Linked DNA regions of Arabidopsis thaliana. The protein of the gene in region 3 interacts with the protein of the main gene of each other region in a pairwise test. Each region holds a gene or a part of one and is shown on either strand. Other genes may lie near its edges.

Evidence for each region.
Region 1: the proteins of FIP1 (region 3) and CFIM-25 interact in a two-hybrid assay, tested with the Arabidopsis thaliana proteins (one study listed by BioGRID).
Region 2: the proteins of FIP1 (region 3) and PABN1 interact in a two-hybrid assay, tested with the Arabidopsis thaliana proteins (one study listed by BioGRID).

The regions. Positions count from the first base shown.
Region 1 is NC_003075.7:14,594,467-14,599,662, forward strand, and holds CFIM-25 (homolog of CFIM-25), read right to left. Parts: upstream 3,051-5,196; 5' UTR 2,852-3,050; coding exon 2,667-2,851; intron 2,576-2,666; coding exon 2,530-2,575; intron 2,430-2,529; coding exon 2,336-2,429; intron 2,246-2,335; coding exon 2,172-2,245; intron 2,084-2,171; coding exon 1,997-2,083; intron 1,897-1,996; coding exon 1,786-1,896; intron 1,653-1,785; coding exon 1,581-1,652; 3' UTR 1,214-1,580; downstream 1-1,213. Other genes in the region: MKK2 (MAP kinase kinase 2), read right to left, coding at 109-243, 499-610, 699-775; VIP3 (Transducin/WD40 repeat-like superfamily protein), read left to right, coding at 3,262-3,600, 4,065-4,691; MTO2 (Pyridoxal-5'-phosphate-dependent enzyme family protein), read right to left, coding at 4,968-5,196. UniProt on the Arabidopsis thaliana protein: Component of the cleavage factor Im (CFIm) complex that plays a key role in pre-mRNA 3'-processing. Involved in association with CPSF6 or CPSF7 in pre-MRNA 3'-end poly(A) site cleavage and poly(A) addition.
Region 2 is NC_003076.8:20,777,088-20,782,629, reverse strand, and holds PABN1 (polyadenylate-binding protein 1), read right to left. Parts: upstream 2,970-5,542; 5' UTR 2,871-2,969; coding exon 2,715-2,870; intron 2,616-2,714; coding exon 2,513-2,615; intron 2,434-2,512; coding exon 2,311-2,433; intron 2,244-2,310; coding exon of another isoform or gene 2,235-2,243; coding exon 2,176-2,234; intron 1,932-2,175; coding exon 1,740-1,931; intron 1,656-1,739; coding exon 1,537-1,655; intron 1,435-1,536; coding exon 1,389-1,434; 3' UTR 1,073-1,388; downstream 1-1,072. Other genes in the region: AT5G51130 (S-adenosyl-L-methionine-dependent methyltransferases superfamily protein), read right to left, coding at 53-100, 302-416, 513-734; AT5G51110 (Transcriptional coactivator/pterin dehydratase), read left to right, coding at 3,250-3,624, 3,949-4,144, 4,223-4,314; AT5G51105 (ECA1 gametogenesis family protein (DUF1278)), read right to left, coding at 4,627-4,998.
Region 3 is NC_003070.9:9,848,835-9,855,176, forward strand, and holds FIP1 (FH interacting protein 1), read right to left. Parts: upstream 3,616-6,342; 5' UTR 3,467-3,615; coding exon 3,241-3,466; intron 3,156-3,240; coding exon 3,054-3,155; intron 2,642-3,053; coding exon 2,370-2,641; intron 1,741-2,369; coding exon 1,561-1,740; 3' UTR 1,551-1,560; exon of another isoform or gene 1,299-1,550; 3' UTR 1,010-1,298; downstream 1-1,009. Other genes in the region: ATJ1 (DNAJ heat shock family protein), read left to right, coding at 5,764-5,781, 5,902-5,959.

The DNA.
Region 1 (5,196 bases), on a different chromosome or scaffold from region 3:
TGACAAGGCAAGGAAGAAAAAGATTTGTAAATCTTCAAACACAGAGAAAAGATGAGGAATTTAGCTCATCATATACATAAAAGAATCTGAAGGTTAACCAATGAGTACCTTCAAGGCGAAAAATTGGCCAGTCCATTTGTGTTGAACCAGCTGAACAACACCACTACTTCCTTTGCCAATGACTTTAACCATATCCAAATCCGACAAGCTCAGCTGATCATCAGCTGGCTTAATTGGAGACAGCTGAAACACAGTCGCAAACGAAACAGATTACAAACAGTAATCTAGAAGATATGAGCTTAATCCCTGAGTTTCTCTATCCAGAACTACAGAAATGATCTTAAGAAGGTTCTAATTATGATCAGATCCACCAACCACATTACAGTTAATGCATTCAAACTCAACAAAATCTTCATATGCAGTACAAATAAACAATCAAACCTAACACTCGCGAAATTCAGTAAAATCAGCACCGAACGAGGAAGAGGAAAGACTTACGACTTCAGGCTCCAATTGAGAAATGATTCGAACTCCATCCTTGTTAACACGTAGATCTCCATCCTTAAACGTACCGCTTTGAGTCCTACAGAGAGAACCAAAACCTTTCCTCCTTCAAAAACAAAACCAGAGACATTTCCACACACAAATACATCTATCTATCCACAGATCCATGGAGAAAGAGAGATCGAGAAACATACAGGAATTTGGTGATGGATTGCTCGCCAGCAACAGGAATTGCGAGCTTGAGATTATTGCTGAATCCACCTTTCTTCATCGTCTTCGTCTACTTCGTTCTTCGCTTCTTCCTTTTTGTTGTTTCCTCGTCATTATATATTAAGTAAAACACAGTTTTAAGCATAATTCATGTACTTTTCAGCCAGAAATTGGAATTTGGAAATAAAACAGCCATTAATTAATATTAGTCAAGCACATGTTCACGACGTTGACCAACGACTTAGAGACTTTCCCATTTACTACTTCTTTTTCCCGGTTTTCTTTGACCGAAAAGTTTTAATCCACATTTTAACCGGAAACAAACCGGTTAATTCAGTGATTCTTCGTTCTTTAGCTTTTGGTTTTTAAACACTCCCAAAATCACCACTACAACAAAACGCTAACGCAGAATGCCAAACTAACGTTTGATATTTATAGAAAGTTTTCAATATTTCAAATATTGTTTGATCAAATACAATAAACACATATAACAAACAGTAAAATCTTTACTTATGTTTCTCGGTTTCATGTTTGAAGATAACAAGGTTTTCTTCAACAAGGAATATACAAATAAGCATACACCCCTATATTTGTTTTACTCATGTATACATTCAATTACACATCGAAATTATCACACAAAGAAAAATTGTTTCGAATTGATTAATCTATCTATCAGTATACTTCATGTCTAGTCTCTATAACCAACAAGAACATGCTATTCTTCAACATTGTCTATATATTATAAGCCCTATATACATTATATAGTCACAGACTCAGAGAGGCTCCACAAACGATTTCCCCAAACATAATCCTATCACAAATTGCGGGGGGCAAGAGCTACTAGAGGCAATGATCATGAGGTTCGTTCATATCTCCATCATGTTGAAGGAGAATTTCGAAAGAAGCTTAGGAATTTGCGACATGATCGGCCCATAAGTCTGCAACGCATAAATGAAACATCACAACACATAATTAAATACAGCTTGATTGACTGACCCTGTTAGTTTTACCAGGAACATCGATTAAAAGTTCACGATGAGTTAAGGGCAATGCAAGTAAGATAGTACATACCTTTTCATTTTCATGGAGTTGACACAATGGAACAGCGAGGAGTTTGAAGTTCTTAGGCACAACAAACTGTTGATGTACCGGTAATCTCACAAGAAAAAGCTTTGTGCATTCCTACACAAAAGATGAGGATAGAGCAGAGCTTTTAGTATAAGCGCAAATCTTCAAAAGTCTCAACTTTTTCTTACAATGAAAGTGAAACTAACTAACCAACCTTTGGGTGTTTAATATTAGGTGGCAAGAAAGGATACATCAATGTCTCAAAGTTGGGTCTCCACCACATCCCAATACATTCTCCTACCTACAACAATGTTGTAATTAGAGAGACCATTCTTAAGCCAGAAACAATCAGATACAAAAGCACTTTAACAAGAAGCCATAGTTCCTACCTCATAACCCGAAACACCCACATTTTCGTTAACCGATAGCTTTGATGCTAGTTTCCGTTTTAGACCTTCAATATCTAGAAGATTAAGGAGAAACATGACTTTAGCGTTTAGAATTGAGACAGCGATATTTATGCATAAAGATGCAAGGAAACAGCATACTAAACCTGATTCTCCAGGTCTCAAACGACCACCAGGAAGCTTGAAAATGGAGTTTCTATATTGAAGAAGCAAAACATGAGGATGCTTGAACAACTCAACCTGATGTGTCCCAACATTAGATTTTAATCAATCCTTTCAAACCAATTTTCCCTGTAAAACTTTTCAAAATCCCTAATTTGGCTACCAACTATAAAATTACCAGAAGAACAGCTTCAACGCAAGTTCTCAATCCATGAGCAGCATAACTTCAAAAGAAACAAAAAAGAAACTTTAGCTATAGATTAAAACAATAAGAAAAAAACCAGATGATCTAAATCACATCAAAACTCGATTTACTTGGATTTCAATCTGATGACTCGATCAGAGATAATCTCGTCCTTGACGCGAAGAGCTTCTTTTGAACCGAAGTAGTAGCTGCTAAGCGGGTATAAATCAACCATCAAGTCATGAACGACATCGTTTCGTCTCGTCGTGTTGTCACTGATCTCCTCCATATCTAACGCTCGAGCTTCTTCACCCATTTTCTGCCCGTAAAATTCAAAGACGAGAGCTAAAAGCGATCTCAATCGATTAAAATTAAATAACAGAGAGACCACGAGAGCAGAGAAGACGCAAGAAGAAGAGTGAAGAAAGGTGTCGTAGTCGGATCACTGAGACGTGGCGGCTCCAGAGAGTACTTCTCCGCAATTAGCTGACGACGGCGGGAGAGTGAGGAAGAAGATATTAATGGGCCTGTTACGATATTAATGGGCCTTTAGTAGTAAACAAGAATACGGAACGATGTTAAACACTCTATTGTTTCCAACTACTAAAAACGACGCGAGTTTCTATTTTATAACTAAAAAACGAGAATCAAAGTCTCTGTTTCAAATTTGGGTCTTTTGCTTCTTCTTGCTCACTTGAGGAAACACAGTAAAAACCTAAAAAGAGAATGAAACTCGCAGGTCTGAAATCGATCGAGAACGCTCACGAAGATTCCGTTTGGGCAGCGACGTGGGTTCCGGCGACGGAAGATCGACCGGCGTTGCTTCTGACTGGATCTCTTGACGAGACGGTGAAGTTATGGCGACCGGACGAGCTGGATCTTGTGCGGACTAATACTGGACACTCTTTGGGAGTAGCAGCTTTGGCTGCGCATCCTTCTGGGATTATTGCAGCATCTTCTTCGATTGATAGCTTTGTCCGTGTGTTTGATGTTGATACTAATGCTACGATTGCTGTTTTGGAAGCTCCTCCTTCTGAGGTTTGGGGAATGCAATTTGAACCTAAGGTAATTGACTCAATGAGATTGCCTCCAATTTTAGGGTTTTGAAGGATTTTGGGTTGTTTTGTGGTGAAAGAATTCGATTGCTTCATTGAATTTCACTTCTTAGTTGCGAGTAATGCTTCTCCTGATCTATATAACAATGCTTGGGTACTATATGGAATTGCTGAGTATCGTTTGAATCTGTAGCTCTGATCAGATAGGGTCATCTACTCTGCTCGGAAAATAGATCTAGATCATCTTCTGATTTTTCATTGAGTCTTATATAGTAGATTAAGAACAATTTATTGGTGCTTTGATGATAAATCTTGATTTGGTATGATAGAATTTTGACCTGGTGACTATCAAGTATCAGTGCAATGATCTCTCTTTTAGTTTGCAGTGGAGTTTTTATTTGCTTCTGAGCTTATAATTTCAACATTACTCTTTAGAATGGTGCTCTGCTAACATAGTATTTTACATGTTCCAAGGGTACGATCCTTGCTGTTGCAGGTGGAAGTAGTGCCTCAGTCAAGCTTTGGGACACTGCAAGCTGGAGATTAATCTCAACTCTATCAATCCCACGCCCAGATGCACCAAAACCTTCCGATAAAACCAGCAGCAAGAAATTCGTTCTCTCGGTGGCTTGGTCTCCTAATGGGAAACGACTTGCTTGTGGTTCAATGGATGGTACGATCTGTGTTTTTGATGTTGACCGCTCAAAGCTACTTCACCAGCTAGAAGGTCACAATATGCCTGTAAGGTCCCTTGTGTTCTCCCCTGTAGACCCGAGAGTCCTCTTCTCTGGATCAGATGATGGGCATGTGAACATGCACGATGCAGAAGGGAAAACGCTGTTGGGGTCCATGTCAGGGCACACGAGTTGGGTGCTGAGCGTTGATGCTAGCCCAGACGGTGGAGCCATAGCAACCGGCTCAAGCGATAGAACTGTGAGGCTATGGGATCTTAAAATGAGAGCTGCGATTCAGACAATGAGCAACCACAATGACCAGGTTTGGTCTGTGGCCTTTAGACCACCAGGTGGAACCGGTGTCCGGGCTGGTCGACTTGCTAGTGTCTCTGATGACAAGAGTGTATCGCTCTATGATTACTCATGAACAATTCGGTTTTTTGACTTTTTTCTTTTATGCATTCTCCAAGACGCATCTAGTTGTAACAATATAATCTGCAACAGGTTGATTTTGACCGGAGTCTTTAGATTTATCGCTTACACAAAAAACAAAGAAGATAAAATGATTCAAACTTTGCGATAGAACTTTATTGGAAAACTGAGAAACAGATAAAGATCACAGAGAGATGAGTTGAAGAGTAACGCAAACAAACGTCTAAAAGTTTTCAAAAAACAAAACAGCTAAAGATTATGGTCTTGTCTCTTATGACGTAAGTGTATTACTTCCTAAGTAACTCTTGAGAACATCCATGACAGCTCCGAAATCTGCTTTCACATCAACAGGAGGATTGGAGAATCTGCAAGCCATGTCAGGGATGGCATTGGAGTGATAATCTATCTTAGACTGAGTAAACTTCAACCCATGAGCAGTACTCACTACCACAGTTCGATCAGTCGGTGCAATCACTCCTTGATTCCTCAGCTTGAACAGA
Region 2 (5,542 bases), on a different chromosome or scaffold from region 3:
CCTACACAAAGCAAAACTTGGAAGATATTATGACAACCAATTATAGTCTTACTTGTATCAATGTCAACTCCAAGAATGCTCCGGCAACCGAACTTTTTTGCTGAAGAAGAGCAAAACAATATCAGCTAACGACTATATAAAATTATGGATGCTGCCAGAGAGATTTCAGACACAATGGAAGTTCAATCACACTTTACTATAGCATTCTCATAAGGACAGGTATAGCTACAACAACATATCTATTACTATAATGGATGGACATAGATAGGAACAAATTATGATATTGATAAGAAGAAGATACCAATATGAATAGTCATGATGCCGCTGTTGCAGCCAATGTCAAGACAGTCTTTGCCTTCAAACCATTCCTTCTTCAACACTTTAAGCCGAGGATCCTCATCCGTGTCATTGCTTATCTAACACATTATGTTGCCAAACGAATCCAAAATCAGATACTAAACCAAAAGATGAGCAGACTATGAAGGAATTTGAAAATATACTACGAAACTCACTCGGTAGCCATAGTAGTTTCTGTAATTTCCGAAGGGATAAACTTCTTGATTCTTCTTCTTCTTGCTTTGATTACAATTTCCTTGTTGTCCTTGTTGTTGCTTCTGCTTCTGCTGTGTTGGGACTTTCTCTTCATTAGCAACTACTTTCTCAACACTCTTCTCATTCTCATTACTTCTGTTTCTCTTCTTCTTATTCTTCTTCTGATCGTTGTCCCGACCCATTTTTTTCTCACACGCGTTGATGAACAAAGCTCGCGAAGTTAGGGTTTCTTCTATGTTATCGCTATCAGCTAGATTCTTAGAATCGAAACAAAACGATTAAGTCTAAACAGAGAGATTCGACGAAGCTAGCTCCTAGAGAGGTTTTTCTTCGAGGTTAAGCGGCGCAGAGCGAGGAGGAAGAAGAAGAAGAAGAACCGAACCGCCTTTGAAAGTCCAAAAGGGTTTAACGAGTCTCATATTTAAGTAATCCTCTCTTTTTTAGTTAATACATTCTTTAAACCTATTTATGTAAATATACGAAAGTTTCCTTTTCTTTCACCGACGTGGCCAAATTAATCTTAGAGAATTAACTTTTGTTTTTTTTTGGTCAATATGCATCAAATCTAGAACAATGGAAGCTTGCGAGTTATTGTGAAATCGTGACTCGTGTTTGAAGATAATAAAAACAAAGGAACTCATCAAAATGTTGCACTTGTCATCAAATATTGTACAGAAAATCTAGAATATAATTCCCCTCTCTCTTCTGCCATACAATTCTTCAACTCATCTCTGTTAATCGAAACAACTGCAGCGTCCGATGAACCGTGTTGATGATGATAAGCTTTCCCGAAAACGGAGAAGCAGCTGCTACTTTTTTAACACCAATTTGCCTAATCAGTACGGTCTGTAGCGCATAGGCCGTCTGAACCTGGGAACTCTCCTGCACAAACCATCAACCATTGTCAATTTTATGAACAACCATGATGAATCAAACAAATGGACTTTAAAAGAGAGGATAGGCAGGTAAGGTTCTAGAACACACCCATAAGCATATGGAGGATAAAATGGAACTCCTGGCATGAATCCCCTCATCGGTCTAAAGGGACGCCCTCTTCCTCGAAATTGCCTCATTCCAGGTACATTAGTCCTCTTTGCAGATACCTGAAAATAGATTAAACAAAGTTTAGTAATGACAAATCGTAATATGGAAAATAATTAACTACATCGTATTGAACGAGTTTGCACCTTTATCTGACGACCATGTAGTTCTGACTCGTTCAAAATAAGCGAATTCTGAACAGCTTCTACTTCCACAAATTCGACATACGCAAAACCTTTAGGTTGACCAAACTTATCTGTCAGAATTGTAACCCTATTCACTGTCCCACATGATTGAAAATGCTGCTGGACTTCCTCTGGAGTACATGCATAGTCCACCTAATATACACAAAAAAACAAAGACACAGGATATCTAAAGAATCAGCTTCACAGATGGGAGATATGAAGGCTTTCTGAAATATGAAGGAAAGTTAGTTTAGCAATTACTAGAGATAAAGAAATAAACAACAAGCAGCCTCCAAATTTCATTGATACCAAAGCAATAAAACACACAAACTTTCTTTAAAAAAGATACAAACATATATGAGAAACATGTGAAAATTAATGGTGGAACAAGCCTCACATTGCCAACATATATTGAACGCGAATCCACTTCTTCCTTCTCAGCCGCACTAACACCACCTGAAGGGTCTTCATTGATATGCAACAACATAAAAGGTATTGACCCAATTAGCTAACTGACAAGACTCCACAATACTATTAATGATTTCCTTCTCATACTCAAACTCCAGTAAATTTCTAGACAGATTCATTGATTCACTAAAAGATTCCAATATGTAAACCCAAAGCAATATCATAATCAACAAGACAAGCTTTAAACCTAATCTATCAATTTAAAGGTTAATGTGAAGCTGCGCACAAAGATTCAAGATTTTACGTATCAGTTAATAAGTACAAACCTTGACTAGCACCCATATCTTTCTCAGCCTTGGCTTGCATTTCACGCAAAGCTCCAGCTTCTTCCTCAATCTCCTTAATTCGTTTCTTCATATCCTCCAAGTCCTATCAAACAATCAAAGCAAATAACAGACTAAATACAGTAAAAAATAAGAAGAGTCTCAATTGGATAAAAGTAAATTATAGATCGAAGAATCACAATACCCTAGAGCTAGAGCCAGGTTCAAGCTCCTCATCTCCGGCGGCGGCACCTTCTTCTCCGCCGTGTTCTTCGTACTCTTCCGTATCCATCTCACCTTCTTCCTCTTCTGGGATCTCTCCACCGTACACCTCATGCTCTTGCTCATCGTGCACCGGCATCTTTCTCTCTCTATATCTCTCACTCGGCGACTGTCGTTAAAGCGAGAAACAGAAGTCTCGGAATTTTAGGGCTTGAAATCGGGAAAGAAGGGAAGGTTTGTTTGTAATTAAAGATACCCAAAAAGGATACTTTCGGAATTATGAAATCTTAAGTAGATTCACCAAAAGTGGACACAAAAGTACAATCAAACCCAATGGGCTTCTCAGATTAAAACGTGACGTGTAAAGTCGGTCCCACGAAAGTTTATTGTGGTTCCCATTAGTCATTAGTGATTACGTGGCACCTCACCCATTTAACTCAGTCCAGTGGTCTGAAAATCGTTTCGCTCTCTAAAAACCAAAACTCTTATCTTCGGTACAGAGCAAATCACAGCTCCCGATGGCCGCCACGTCATCATCACCGCCGTGTAACATCTCCGCGTCCTCCCTCCTCCTCCGTCAACCTTCTCGCTCAATCCTTAAAGTGTTCGGTTTATTACCACCTGTAAGTAGGAATAACCGTAAACTCGGCCGGTTAACGGTGACCCGGTCTAATCTGGCGCAGGATTTTCTTGGTGACTTCGGAGCTCGTGACCCTTACCCGGAGGAGATAGCGAGTCAATTCGGAGATAAAGTGTTGGGATGCCAAAGCACTGAGCACAAGATTTTGATACCAAACGCATCTGTTTTGTCTCTCTCCCAGCTTCAGTGTTCCCCTGTTTCGTCTTCACAGCCTCCTTTGTCCGGCGATGATGCCAGAACTCTCCTCCACAAGGTACTTATACTATTTCTCTCTTAGTATAAAAATGTTCGAGTTTTGATTTTACAAGTTTGTTGGTTGATCAAAATATTGTGAAAATGTTATTGATTCTGCGTTTAACAGATTTCTAATCTATAAAGATAGAATTGTGACCCAAAAATATAGAAAAGCCAATGAAAATTTTAGTATCATGAGGGACATATTAGGAACAATGGTTACGAGATTAAAAAAAAATGAAATGATTAGTGTTGATAAGGCTCATGTTGGTGTTTTGGTTCACGGTTACCACTCTAATGATGTGGTACATCAATCTCAATGATTATTATGTAAACGTTTTAGGTTTTGGGATGGAGTATAGTGGATAATGAAGCGGGTGGTCTGAAAATAAGGTGTATGTGGAAAGTGAGGGATTTTGGGTGCGGTGTTGAACTCATAAACAGGATCCATAAGGTTGCTGAAGCTTCTGGTCATTACCCTTCTCTTCACTTGGAAAGTCCTACCCAAGTTCGAGCTGAACTATTTACCTCTTCTATCGGTATGTCAAATATTTGATGTTCGAGTTTGAGTTTTAATATATGGTTTCTTAAGACGGTTTGTTGGATGAATAATGCAGGAGGGTTGAGCATGAATGATTTCATAATGGCGGCTAAAATAGATGATATCAAGACTTCTGATCTTTCCCCTAGGAAAAGAGCTTGGGCGTGATCTTCTTTTCATTATTTTGGAACATTTTTGTTTGATAGTATGTAATGTATGTGATGTATTCTAAATTGTGTGTGATCGGTCTACATGTCGAGTTATATAGAAAGCATTGTCATAACCGCATAAGAGATATCACGCAACATGTCTTTGAGATTCATTCATCAATCAAAAGAAGAAAGAACATCAATCATATGGAGCACAATATAAGAAATGAGACATTATTATTAGATTAAGACATTATTATTATCATTTCTTCTTCTAGAACATTCTGGGACTAACAAAAAATTCGAAAAAACACAACTACATTTTTGCATTCTAATAGGCGGTGGTGGTTGGAGGACTAGCCATTTTGGAGCATTGGTGTTTCATCATAGGAGGGAAAAACGGGTTGGATGGAAGATTTGGTAAGCAGTTAGCTTCAGCGTCAAGGAAAGCTTTACAACAAGCAGGACCAACGCCTTCAAATTTGCCGGACATTACGGCTTGTTGAATCTCTTCAAAGCATCCCGGCAAATCCATCACTGTTGACCAACATTTGCTCAAGTCGGGACTTCCTGCCATACCGGGACTTGGTTTGAACGGATTTGGAAACGGGAACATGATTGGGGGAAACTGCGGTAGCTGAGCATTAACGGAGGCTGCGATGCATACAACTACTAGGAGAGAAACAACACTCTTGATCGACATGATGAATATTTGGGGGACTATGCAACAAGAGAAATAGATGACTTGAGTTTTGTTTGATGAGATAAAGTTATTGGCTATGAGATCCAATTTATACTGTAATTAGTTTGGCGAAACGTATTTTTAAAAGTTGCTTTCAAAATCAAATTTGTCGTTTTAATTTTGGAAGAAAATCAAAAATAGTCAAAACGTTTGATGCACATTGAATTTGATGCTGTCATATTTCTCATATGTAAAGAAATAAATCTTTCCTAACAATATGATAGGAAATAATACAAAGATGACAGAAGGGAAGCAGTAACAAATTTTAAGTCTCTTTCGTCTTTATTCATCTTGATATATATCATCTCCTAATTTTTTTTTTGAGATTTTATTTACATTCATAGCAAGAAAAAGAAAAAAATCTTTTCAATTTAGGAATTGTTTTTCTTCCAACTTTTTGGAATCCTCTATATAGTAAAAGATGTGGCAAGCCCATAATTGTTCTCATCATTTTTATTTTTCATTTATTGAATATAATATACTCATTGTCAAACACTATTAATTC
Region 3 (6,342 bases):
TATTAGATTAGATGCGGAACATATTTTTCAAGTTGCAAAGCCTAAGAGAAGTAGCCACCTCTCAAATTTGGTCATAGAAAGATGTAGGTTTGACTCATCAAATAGTGTACGTAATTATGTTGCCTTACTTTGACTCGCTTCTTCATTACTTTATTTTGGTTTTGAATTGCCACTCCCGCCTTACTTTCTTTTCCTTTTCGCCATCTTTTTTTTTTTTCGATTTTGCATGATTGCCTTATTTTTCTTTTACTTACAAACTTTTGTAAAATACTAATGGTAAATTAATCTGGAAACCGGAGATCGGTTTTATGTAGCTTATGGATTGTGGGGAGGTAAAACGTCTGAAGAGAACTCATGCTCACGAGAAGTAGCTTCTTCTGTGCGTTTACGGCTTTGGTTTTGTGTGTGAAACTTCGCATTATCTTTGTTTTGTGTAGCACAAACACATTTAACACCCGATATGCCATCTTATTAAAGTAATCGAGAAATCGGTTTTATGAAGCTTTTTCATATATAGGGTGGTTTCGGTTTGATATCAAGACTCCCGTAGTCGCAAACACACTCTTACAAAGATGGTTCAGAGCTATCAGTTTTTGCTGTTGTTGTTTTCAACGGATGTATATGGTTCAACTATATTTACATTTTTTTTTAAAAGATCCAACTATATTAACATTTCATGACACAATCACTCGATAACCATTGAATATATAGATATTGTAAGACTGACCATGTTCAGTTAACACAAGAAGAGTCCAAATGCTAAATCTTCAAATTTGATGGGCACTAGTCATAGTTTATATGCTAACAACTTTAATAAGAAATTCAAAGGACGTAGCTCGTTGGTGAGCAAAGAATAAGACGACAAGGAGCAATAGGCTTAATGACAGACAATTCGCTAACTTCTAAAGTTGGTCACTTCGTAAGAATGATACAATGAAGCTTAATATTTTAATATATCATATTAGATATTTTTGGTTTTGGTTTTAATCATTTAGATATTTGCATATAACGAATGCAAGTAAAAAACAATTTAGGCGATTGCACAAACCCCACCATTTAGATTTGTTTCCACATATATACTCAATGTTACTATCTTCCAAAACTCATACCAGATTTGTTTTAAACACATTAAACATAGGATCTTCTATGATGAAAGTGTTGTAATGAGCCCGTGTCACCAATTCTCCCATGCATGCTTATTATCGATTTGGGCTCTTTTCAAAGGCCCATCGGTGATATATTGGGCTTTCTAAATGCTGGTTTTGTCTATAGCGCCCAACTTGATCACCTTTAAAATCCTAAACTCATCAAAAACCAAAGACCGAATCCAACTTAGAACACGAATACAAATCATGAATGTTAGATCTAAAGGACAAGGTTCCCTCAAAAAAAATAAGAAATAATTTTATACAAAAGGAAATGAACAAAAGCAATGTTTATGAGTAAACGCCAAGAGGACAAAATGTAGAACACATTGAAATGGTATCAAATACTAAAACACACTGTTCCATATATTAATGCACAATATCACTAAGAGCTGCCATTTATACCAGTGGACCTTCACGGACCATGTGACTGCACCGCTTCTTGAAGGCTCTTCACAGCGCTTTCATAAGTCACAAACCCCATAAACCAGAACTCGTGGTTGTCGATGGAAATCACTTGTATGTATTTATCAGATGTGTTCACTCTACTTGTTGATGGGTTCACTGCCTTCAGCTGATTCGCCGGAAGTACCACCTGATCATCACATCAAAATCATCAGCCACAGACTTTACAAGGAAGAATGACAGAAAATAGACTGCAAGTGCAAGGTTCTCAAGGAACGAAAAAAGGTTCTCAAGAACCACCCAAATCTTAAAATCAGTTTTCCAAAGATCATGTTGTCAAGAAGCTTTCTGCTTGGTTTAATAGGATTTCAGCTCATGTTAGATGTTTACATTAGAACCAGTCCAAACTCTCAAACTAACAATTATTCAATGGCTCCCCTAGTTTTATCAAGAATGCTACAAGATTTAGCTTACTCTCTTAGGCAAACCACTAAAGTCCTAATTGTCTACATAGGAACTAACATGCAACTACTCAACAATATCGTTAGAATGATTATGTAGTTTCCATTTACTATAAGCGTACACACACTACGTTCTATACGTCAATAACTAGAAATGACAAGAAAATTTGTTATAGTCTATGAATCTATGTAAATAGATGCATTGAAAATGACTTAACTCACTTAACGCTTTATCATGTCACCATCAAATATTACATTCGCTGAATCTTTGTTCTCAAATAGTTTTCTTAGATGTAAATAGATATAAAATAAAAGAGTTAGAAAGAAAAAGTAACCATAGGATAGAGAGCGAGTATACCTTGTAATAGCTCCACAGGGTCTGCTCACCCTCTTTGTAAGAGAGAGGATTGTCACTAGAGAACGCAAGCTTGTGAGTCGAAAGATACATAACTCCCAGGACAGGACCAGCAGATGTAGACAAGTAGCAAGCATAGGTCTTGAGAAGTTTTTCATCAGGAAGGCAATCAAATGTTTGCTTGAAGACCTTCTCGTATCCACCCTCTGCAAGTATTTTTGTCCCCTGAGCAATTCGTGAAACAGCAGCATCTGCTACACTTGGGCCTGTTTTCACTGAAAAAGAAAGGATAGATATCAAAACGTATACTCTCAAGTCTCAATTCATATAAAATATCATCCCTCCCTCCAACCATATGTATATAATACTAATTCATCACACAAGCGGAGAAATAAAGCCAAAACAACCTATACTAGAGAAGCTTCAAGAGTCAAAGGCAATAACCAGATACAAAGAACTAATTGGCTTAAACTCAAACGGAAGAGCATGAATATCAAAATTGTTGGCTAGATTTAGTGTCGGTGGTTGAACGCGAAGTAAAATTCCGAAGAAGCGCCAATTGATGAACACTAACTTAACCAGAAGGGGCATAACCAATACCATCGTATTCTCCAAGAGACGGTAATCAGATTAATTGGTAATTCATCTAATCGAGGGGGAAGAAGAAGAAGAAGAAGAAGCGCTTACAGTGCTGCCAAAAATTTCCGGCGAGATCCTCCGCCTTCTTGGTGGCGTCGGCAGCCATTTTCCCCCATTTCCCTAACGTATCCTTCACCGAATCCATCGTATCTGTCCCCAAACCAAGATCAATCAATCAATCAAAGGCAGAAATTGGATTAGGATGCGAAATCGGATAGAGAGAAGAAGAACTCACTCCTTGGGGCAGGGGAAGGAGAAACGTAAGGATTGGATTCCGCTGGCATGGTGGTTGCGGCGGCACCGGTGGGAATAGGCTGAGGAGGAGGAGGAGTGACGTCGGTAGGATCGAGCTTAGGGTAAGGAGCGTAGTCAGAGGAGTGAGCAGCAGCCTTGGAAGGCTCCGACGCGGCGGCGGGCGTAGAAGAGATCCGGCCATGATCATGATTCTCTTGCCCACTCATGATTTGATGTTTTCTTCTTCTTCTTTCGAAATGAACTTTTTATTTTTTTGGTTTGGGTTAAGTAATGAAATAAGAGATGGTTCGAATCTCGCAGGCAACAAATAATAATTGAATTAAAATGTCTGTCCGCGTTACGTTGGCATTATTAATCGTAAATAATTTAAGTAGCCTCTTTCCCAAAGTCGGTCTAACATATATATCTCGTGCGGTCTTAAACAGTAGACGAAACTTAATGCAATTAGTTTCTGTAACGGATACTAGTATTCAATTATACCTTTCCTCTAGAACATATCCATAATCCATGTATGTACACCGGTTTTGTGCCCGTTTATCTTCCTCAAGAAATTCAGACCTTCTTCACTTACGATTTTTGTTTTAACTAAAAAATATCTTATTCTAACTTTTTGATTGCTTGGTTTATGTTTTTTAGTTTGGAGTCCAGACCATAATCCGTCCGTGTGTATTTGGACTGTAAAAACCCACATGCGGTCCACCCAATTGACAGTTCTAATCATAATAACAACAACAAAACAAGTTAGATTGTAACCGCTATTGATATACCACAAAAAATTGCTATTTTTTCCGATGAAGGTTAAGAGTGTCTTTATCATTTCGGACATTCGACGATAAAATTTTGTTGTGTTGAAAACATAGTTACCATATCAAAAAACTAGTTTTCATCCAAAAAGAAAAGTTGATTCACATTCTTCTTGATGGTATTTAAACGAATGACATTTTTTTGAAGTTTCATATAGCTCAAACACTCAACGGTTTAAATGAAGCTTCTTATATAAACCTCAAAATCAGATTGAACCTAAATGATCTTGGGAACTCAAGTCCGTATCCATAAAGCTTACTTTTTATAATCCAAGCAGCATCTAAGTTACATTTATCAAACCTTTTTCCAAATTTTCTAAGACTATATGTGTACAAGGATTTTATTCACAAAATTAACGGTGTTGAAGAAATTCTACAACATCTTTTTCCAAATCACTTTCAACTTTTAATTCAAACAGTTAACTTGTAAATAGTCTAACTCACTATTTTCTTTACCGCTACAAAATAACGACCGCCAATTTTTTACCATTTTGTTTTTACCGTTTCACTAAATTAATTAACTACGGAGAATGAGAGAATACGTGTTTAACCCATTTCGAGTCTTCTGAACCAGAGAGAGACTCTGGACGTAGTGGCGAGAAAGCAAAAGATTTAGCGAACGTCTCTTCTCTCGTCTCTCGTCAGCATATGCGTAAGAGCATCTCCATTGGTGAGATACTCCATGAGTACCTCATAATATATTATTAATATTTTAATTTAAGTAGAGAAACTTATACTAAAATTGTGCTTCCATTGGTGAAATACTCTTATGAGTATCTCATTAACATTAACATATTATTATATGTTTTTTATATTAAATTTAAAATCTCTACAATATTTTCAAACATATCAATTATTATTTTTACAATTATATTATTAAATAGTTTTATTATTTTTAAAACCATAATTAAACATAATTAAACATAATTAAACATTACTTTACATATAAAATCATAATAAAAAATATATCAATTAAACATAAAATTCCATATAAAACCATGATAACATAAATTAAATAGAAAAAATATATAAATTACACAGAAATTACATATAAAACCATGATAACATAAATCAAAACTAACTATATTATCTATTATGGTTTTACTCTTCATTTGATAATGCACCAAACTTTTGTCATATATGCTCAACTAGGTCATCTTTTAGTTGTTGGTGCATATCTCTATCACGAAGTCGAATTCGATTGCCAAAAATGTTGTAAAATAAAAATAGAAAATTTTAAATGTTTGTTTTCTAATTAAAAAAAAACTATTGTATTTATAAGTTATTATTATGTTTAATGCTTAACTAACACCAATTAAATAATATTCGTATATAATTTAAACATATATATAATAGAGCTTGTTATATAGATAATTTAATTTTATGAATTTTAAAAGTAAAAAAAAAAAAAAAAATAAACATATAAAGTATTTAATTGATGTTATAAAATATAAATGATTTTATTTATAACAAAGAAAAGAAATTAATGACAAGATGACATTTGGAAGAGAGATAAAATTTCTCCAAGTTTCTCATTTCAGAAAATATTCTAAAAAAAACTGATTAAAAAATTATTATTTTAATATTTTTGATTTATGTTTGTTTGGAATTTATCATGGAAATGGTCTAAGGGTTTAACTCTCAAAATCAAAAACCTCTCCGTTTTTTCCTCTCTGTTTAGCTTTGAATTCACAAGAGTCATGCGAAGATTCAACTGGGTTTGTTTTCTTCATCCCTCTCTAGATTTAGCTTCATCGTTTTCTTCTTCTTCCTTTCAATTTTGAAATTGAGTCCTCGAGAGAGCTGAAATCATTTTGTAATTTATGTTTATATCGTAGGTTCTGCGGCATGTACAAGCTCGAAGAACTTTTGATTCCGCGATCGGATTGCGTCAAGGTAATGTATAAAAGTTGTTAAACTAGGGTTATTGATTTCGTCAATTTTTGCTTGTTTCAAAAAGGAATCAAAAACTGACATTCATATGCTCTTCGAGGTTTATCGCCTTCTCTGAGCTGATTTAGGTGTATATGCAACAGACCAACGACAATGTCAAGTTTTTTGGGGTTTATTAGAATTTCTAATGTAGTGATAATTTTAGCTGAAATGGGGTTTTAGGGTTTATCAGGAAGGGGTATCAAAGTATTGGGCACTATTAAAGGTAACTCAAGAGTTGATTTTAAAGAATCGAAATGTAATCTCGAGGTCTCCGTGGTAGCTAACATTAGGGGCATGAGGGAATTTCCAGTTGATGTTTGTGTTTATCTACAGACTATAGGAAA